2 linked regions of the Daphnia pulex genome follow. The protein of the gene in region 1 binds, or shares a complex with, the protein of each later gene. Links are inferred from orthologs where the notes say so. Each region holds a gene or a part of one and is shown on either strand. Other genes may lie near its edges.

Evidence for each region.
Region 2: transcription initiation protein SPT3 homolog (region 1) and SAGA-associated factor 29-like share a complex: the UniProt entries of both Drosophila melanogaster proteins name them as parts of the spt-Ada-Gcn5 acetyltransferase (SAGA) complex. The link is inferred for Daphnia pulex from reciprocal best matches to the Drosophila melanogaster genes Spt3 and Sgf29.

The regions. Positions count from the first base shown.
Region 1 is NC_060027.1:750,079-753,688, reverse strand, and holds transcription initiation protein SPT3 homolog, read left to right. Parts: upstream 1-1,271; 5' UTR 1,272-1,435; coding exon 1,436-1,490; intron 1,491-1,555; coding exon 1,556-1,733; intron 1,734-1,801; coding exon 1,802-2,108; intron 2,109-2,170; coding exon 2,171-2,428; intron 2,429-2,467; exon of another isoform or gene 2,468-2,497; coding exon 2,498-2,644; 3' UTR 2,645-2,645; coding exon of another isoform or gene 2,646-2,765; 3' UTR 2,766-2,826; downstream 2,827-3,610. Other genes in the region: HEAT repeat-containing protein 6-like, read right to left, coding at 51-135, 200-436, 507-755, 811-996; DALR anticodon-binding domain-containing protein 3-like, read right to left, coding at 2,646-2,765, 2,827-3,122, 3,192-3,358, 3,434-3,610. UniProt on the Drosophila melanogaster protein: Component of the transcription regulatory complex SAGA, a multiprotein complex that activates transcription by remodeling chromatin and mediating histone acetylation and deubiquitination. The SAGA complex predominantly acetylates histone H3.
Region 2 is NC_060019.1:9,072,477-9,076,121, forward strand, and holds SAGA-associated factor 29-like, read left to right. Parts: upstream 1-1,346; 5' UTR 1,347-1,466; intron 1,467-1,525; 5' UTR 1,526-1,623; coding exon 1,624-1,662; intron 1,663-1,724; coding exon 1,725-1,859; intron 1,860-1,919; coding exon 1,920-2,042; intron 2,043-2,105; coding exon 2,106-2,264; intron 2,265-2,330; coding exon 2,331-2,559; intron 2,560-2,640; coding exon 2,641-2,819; 3' UTR 2,820-2,847; downstream 2,848-3,645. Other genes in the region: uncharacterized protein LOC124191408, read right to left, coding at 2,921-3,061, 3,119-3,217, 3,409-3,645. UniProt on the Drosophila melanogaster protein: Component of both the SAGA and CHAT histone acetyltransferase complexes, which both predominantly acetylate histone H3.

The sequences.
Region 1 (3,610 bases):
GAATATATATCATATCCAAATAAGCAGGTCTCCGAAATGTGCAGCCTTACTAAAGATACTTTCCAAATGAGCCACTGTTGAAGCAGTAAATCTAACAAATGTATTCTCTAATCCATAGAAACAAAGACTAAGAACCTAGTAAAATAAATGAATGTGGTTAAGAAATTTCTTCATGACATTATAAGAAACACTGTTTTACCTTGAGAAGGTTAAGATTGTTTGGATCGGAATTTAGGTGTTGCTCTTGGAATTTTATGAACTGGATGATACATGTGTTAATTACATCCTTTGATATTGTAGACCAATCCTTTTCTCCCGAACAGTTGGTAAAATTGCAGAGAATTTTCAGAATGAGAACTGTTTGATTATTGATTTGTTGTTCTTCATTCAATTTATTGATCAAGAATCCAGAAGGACTAAGCACTTTCTCCAAAGCCTAATTTAGTAATTTCAATGGGAAACATTATTGTTCAAAATTTTTCATTCATTCCCAGTTTCAGACCTACTTTAGTTTGTTTAACTTCTTTGAAGTTGACTGCCACAGCAAGACAATTGAAAATGTCAGTAAATATTAAATGATTTTCATTCTTAAGGGATTTTATAATCCAATCAATTAATTGCTCTGATGCTTGACTTGTTAAGTGTACATTTGGAAGTTGTAAAACTTGTTCCCATATTTGACAAGTCTTGGCAACTTTAAAAGATTCTTCATGTTTCACAATTTTTAAAACATCTGATACTAAAATTACAGAATCCTATAAACATAAGATTTTAAACAGTGAAATGAATATAACTTTTATGGAATCTTACTTGAACATTGACTGACGACGATTCCAATTCTTTCCTTTTAAGATCGAAGAAAAGGGTGTTCAGATTATCCAAGAAATTTGTTATTTCTTCCGGATTTGCATTTTTCTTATCTAACAATAGGTTGAGCTTTTCTCGAACCCCTGTCAGATAATTTGTGTCTAATGATTTAAGTTGAGAAAGAGCCATGACTCTATCTCGATTGTCACACTTTGTTTACAAATTGAAGGTCCTTGATTTTTTCGACATTTTCGTCTGCTATGTGTCGACGAAGTACCGAAGGCATCCGCTTGGTTTTTTTTTTTCTTAATTGAAAAATGTTTAAGATTAATGAAAGCGTGGTTCATTCAAAAGTTCATAAAAAATAAAGATTTTTTTTTCCTTACTAAATTTTGGGAAAAAAATTGAAATAGTTTCAAAATTAGCTTTGGCATTGAGGCAAATTCAAATATGTCTAGCTAGGCTAGCAGACTACCACACAATACCTTCTTTTAGGGTTCAGTTCAGACTTCAAACAATAACAAATGGAGTTTTAGAAAACACCGGTTGATATTACTATTTGGTACACGAATTATACCAACACAACTGATATTTTGTAAAAATTAGCAAAATTCTCAATCTCCTAAAAATGCCAGCTGCTGATGTATCCACTAATTCTTCCACCGATGGATGGTACATCTTGGGTAAGTTCATATTAACGACCAACAATGTCAACATTTCCTAACTACATTTAATTCGACATGTTTAGAAATCCAAAAAATGATGTATGGATTTGGCGACAGCAAATATTCGCTGAAAGAAACTGCTGAATTAGTAGAGAAAATTGTGAAGGAACAACTAATTCAGTTCCTGAATGCACTGTCTGAGGTTGCTGTTAAAATTAACTCAAAGAAAATTGGTATCAAAGAATTTCTAGTCTTACTTAGGTAGGTAACCTTCAGTTTAACAATATCTCAAGTTATTCAATATATTGAAGTGATTTCTGTTAAATTAGGCACAGTCCAGTTAAACTGAGAAGATTTTGCACCTATTTACAAGCCAGTGGGTTTAAGGATTTGGCAAAAGAAGATGATTTGCCTAAAGACATAATGACTGAATTTTCTGATCTTCACACTGGAAATAAAAAACTGAATTCTGCTCTTGCATTCCTACAACACCTTGATCCATCATGTTATCTGTGTAATGTGGCAGATCCATCTAAACCTTTCCTGTTACCTGATGATGCCCTCAAGGAACGAAATGAAAGGATTGAGAGAATGACATTAGCCATGGAGAAGGGGCAGTACATTGAATATTCTCAAGTATTTTGATTCAACCTAACTGCTTTTTCAAAATCTAGATTTAACAGAATTGTTTTTGTCAGGCCAAATCTACCTCATTTAAGAGAGGCCAGCCTTCTGGTAAATTTCAAGATTGGTTACTTAAAGATTCTCCAGCTCCTGAGGTTGCTTTAAGTGCGACAGCTTGGTCTATTCTCAGTTACTTTGCTTACGAAACCATCGCACAAATAGTAGATCTGGCCTTCATAGTACGAAGAGACAATATGGCTGGGCAAGTGAGTGACGCAGTTCAACGTAACACTGCACCAAGAGTATCTCCAGCGAATGCTGATTTGTTCAAGGTAAAAGGATTAAAATGAATGTTACAATAATTATAATCATTCTTTAAAACAAAATTTCCGTATTTTTAGCCGACATGGTCAAATTCGATGAAACCTCTTCAAACAGCGGAAGTCTCTGAGGCCATCAGACGGTTCAACAATACACACAACTCAATTTTTTCTCCATTCCGAAGAAATGGTGTTCCTCCTCCTGGACATCGACTTCTGGCACTGTAATTTAAACGTACTGCAAGGGCTTCAAATTCAATATGGCGAAAGCTGCGTCGTAAATTGTTAATATCACTTTCAACATCCAAATTCGTGCGTGCATTGTTGGATGCGATCGGTTGTGTTCATCCTAAAAATAGGAAACTTTAATGTAAAATTGTATGCAAGAAACCTGAATAAAGAATACTCACACATAGGGTGCGAACTGAACTGTAGTAATGGGAATAATCCTGCGATAAAAATAGCAAAAATCGCCATAACTCTGAAGTTATCTTTGCGATGCGAGTGAGTGAAAATTTGTTCAGCATAGGAACAAATCCAGCAATATATTTGGAGGTGATTTCAATTTCTGCTTTATGCTTCAGCAACTTAAAATTGGTCGTATCCAAACTTGGCAGTGGAGGGTAAAGTGAGCAATCCACTCCATCAGAAAATTTTTGAAGTATACAGGCAACCCTACTTCTGTTGTACAAAACCTTTATTGCTTCTAAAATAGAAATGAAAAATTCAATAATTAGTTATTAAAAAGGAACCATGATTTTGGTAAACTGAATACCTCTGAATTGAGGATCAATTTCTAGTCCAGCTAGTCCTACCGCATGCATTGGTTTTGTGGTGTCATTGTGCAAGAAATCATAACTGATAACAGCCTCTGTGATCCATGCTTCAGACATACTTTTACCTTCCGTTGGATGCCTGGATTTAACATGCAACTGTCGTAGCCTTCAAACACAAAAAACACCTACATAGTTAGTATATTAAGGCATTTTAGAGTAAATTGAAATTACAGTTTTTTACCTCATATATTCTTCAAATGATGTCGTCACATCCTTTTTTTTGGTAGAAGGGTTGATAACTGGTCCCACAACACAAGTGATGGTTGAACTCAAGGACTTGTTATCAGAGTTTTTAATACTTGTAAGAATGATTTCAGTATTCTGATCTTTGTAGGCAAAGATATTGCTCAGAACTCTG
Region 2 (3,645 bases), on another chromosome or scaffold:
GCTCCATTGCGAAAACGCGCCCTCAAGACATCTCGACTGGAAAATGACTGCAAAACCACTGCTCACACCATGAACGCTGCATCAACACCATTGGCAGCTCCAACATCAAACTAACCAAGAAATCCTGTAAATCAAGTTCAAAGGAAAACAATGAACCAATTACATTTTCAAATACAAGAAAGGGTTAATTTCTGTTTTATATTTAAAAAATACAATTCTATTGAGCAAATCTTTTCACAAAAGCTCTTAATTAGAAACATATAGTTGTTGTAAAATGTCATCTAAATCGAGAATTCAATGTCTGACCTGATTCCTGACAAAAATCACATGTGTAGCACACACTTTTAAAGTAGACTAAAATATAGGCAAATTCTAACCCACTCGAGTGTTCTAACAAGTTAAGTGCATGTCTGTGAAAGCTCTTGGCATAATTCAACTGGAAATTGAAACAATTTGCAAAACAAAACGTAATGAAGCTCAGGCTTTACTGCTCAACAGTTAATAGAAAAATTTAAATTACTTTTTGAAACAAAGTCACACAATTTTAATTCAGAAACAAAGTCTTGAATTAAAAAGTTAAGCAATAATTACTTTTTACTGTTCTGCATGGAACGAAACGTGCAACATTCAGCAAGAGACGACATTGTGGGAATGTACAGCAGGCCACATGCGATTACCAATTATGAATTGAAGACAATGTTACACGTTTTGAACCACACACAAAATTAAATTTTATAAAATTAAAGAATAAAAAATGGAATTACCATGTCTATGATCAACAATGTCACGTAAGAAAGTACCAGCAATGACTAAATTTTACCTTCTCGGACAGCGTCTCGACAGCAAAAGAAAGACTGTTCTGTCAGTCGTCTCAGGACTTTGACAGTTTGATGACCCATCCCCCTACACCCCTCTAGAAACAAACACACTAGAGCTGAATAGTTCAATCCCTAAACACGCTGAAATATTTAGCCACCTAGTGACAGCCCTGAGCATCCACGGACGACTAGAATGGGACGGAAAATAAACGAAATATTCGTCATCTCCGTGAAATACATTTAGTAGATAAAAAAAATTATCGAAAAATTAACAGGTGAGCTTTCTTGGTGGAATAGTTATCGTCAGTCATCACCAAAAAGTTACCACACAATGCCGATACATTTTTACAGGGATGTGCAAAATATTAAAATAACTGACTACAAAATAACTAAATAATTTGAGAGTTGAAAATGATCAAAGGCTATATAATAAAACCACTCGAAAAAAAGGCCTGATTTAGAAATTATTGCCATGGTTATACAATTTGAGCATGCTCATGCCATCTGCTAATGACGAATGGAACTAATACAGTTGATGCCATAGTTGCCATGGTGACGACAAAGCAACTGCCGATGTTACGATTTTCAATTTATTGTTTGGAAGGCTGATTTCCGATGACTGTTTTTAAACTCATCTTCATTAATTTAGTAAGGTTATTTTTCTGTGCATAAAAGATATGTAAATTTCAGAATTTAATTTTCTTTAGTTCTTGGTTTTCTTGGTGGCTTTTGCTTGGATTCCAGTCATCATTGCTGGTTTGAGCTCATCATTTAGGAGAGGTAGTTGTTATTAAACATATACATCATGGCTTTGTCATTAGATTCTGCCACACAGCAAGTCCAAGTAAGGTTGATATAATCAGTTGTTAAGGTATTTACTTAGTTCTAATTTGGATTGGGGTGCAGGAACGATTGAAGGGGATCTACAAGTTGGTCAAGCAGATTCAAGAAGAGAAAGTTCGTAATGAAGGTAACTTAAATGCTGTTATCAAAGCTCATGAAAAACTTCAGTCAGATGACAAAATTTCTCCATATCACAAGGTATTTCTATTCCCATATCACTAATTAATCAGCACTAATGAATGCCTATAAAATTATCAGTCTAAATTAAAAGGACTGTATTGCTCTGTGGTGGCTGATGCTGAAAAAGAAGAGGACCTTATTCGTAAGGCATTAAGCAAAATCTATGAAATTCGCGTTATCAGACATGAAAGGAGAATTCAGGTTATTCCCAAGAACGTAAACTTAGAAAATTTCACCTAACATTGTACTAACATTCTTGTTCAGGCAAAACAAGCTGGCAGTAAGGAAACTATAAGAAGAGGTGCTCTCATGAAAATGCTTCTCGTTACTGCTCAAACTCTCCCGCTGTGGATCAGTAAGTCAGGACAACAGCCACCAGCATTATGTGGAGCAGTTCCAGCTGACCCAACTTACGTTGCCAAAGTATTACATTATTCGAATGTCATAAACTGTTAATTGACTAACCGAAACACCTTATATGTATGTCAGCTGGGAGATATTGTTGCGGCTTTGGTAAAGAGTACAGACGGCGATGAGAATTGGATTTTGGCAGAAGTCGTTCAATATTTAGCTTCTTCTGGGCGCTATGAAGTGGATGATATTGACGAGGAACAGAAAGAGCGACACACTTTAAGCAAACGCAGAGTAATTCCTCTTCCTTTGATGCGAGCTAATCCTGAAACCGATCCCGATGCTTTGTTCTCAAAAGGAGCCACTGGTAAAAACAAAACAAAAAAATCGCAAATTTTAGCTGATCCGACGTTAGCATATTATTAACATACTAAACATTTGTTTTTAGTCATGGCTTTGTATCCACAAACGACCTGTTTTTACAAAGCGGTAATCAATCAATTACCCCAAACAGCTCAAGATGAATACCAAGTTCTTTTTGAAGATTCTAGCTATACTGAAGGATTCAGTCCGCCTTTGATGGTGGCGCAACGATATGTCATAGCTATCAAAGAGAAAAAGAAATGATTTCAAATACATTTGACCCTTTTTTCTATTCTCTCTTCTGTACAGCAGGATTTGTGTTTTTCACTACTTCTTCCAACCACGTATGAAACATGAAATAGAATCTAAATGGGGGAGTTTTTGAATCCGTAGTCGGCGTAGTCAGAAGGCTTCATTTTATCGGAAACTTTAGGGAAGTTCGGATCTCCTGGGTAAACTGCGGGTCTGGAGCCGAAAATTGCAAATCCTTTCTTGCGAGTCCAGTCCTAAAAGTTAAAATGTAGTATTTTGGGTGCTGTCCACTATTAGAGGCAAATACTTACATGAGAGTTGTACTTCAGATTGTAGGTAATTCCCAAAACCAGCCATCCAGCAAGAAGATATTTACCAACCCAATAGCGAGTAATCTGAGTTTTGTCGCCCTATGAATAAGAAAAAGAATTAGAACACAGATTTTATGAATTATGTAGTAGTCTCACAACCACAAAATGGACAGTTAATTAATTTTTAAAAGTAAAGTGTTTTAGTTCACATTACATCTGCTCGAACTAAATCGGGGAAATGTTACCCATAACAAAAGTTTTAAGTTCTGTTAATACTTATTATTACTTACCAATCTAGATTGAAGTTTAGAGAAGACAAAATCAAGGGGAAAACGATATGCTCGACGGATTGGATTCATTTCCATTTGGCTGGCACTAAATTGCGTACGAGGTTCATGGTGGCCCAACTCCTGAGCTTTGAGCCATTTTTTTCGCCATTCACGATCCAAATCGGTCATCGTTCCATCCAAACGAGCTCTTTCATTCTCGTAGGGGCCCCTGATGGTCATGGGTCGAGAAGTAGGTTC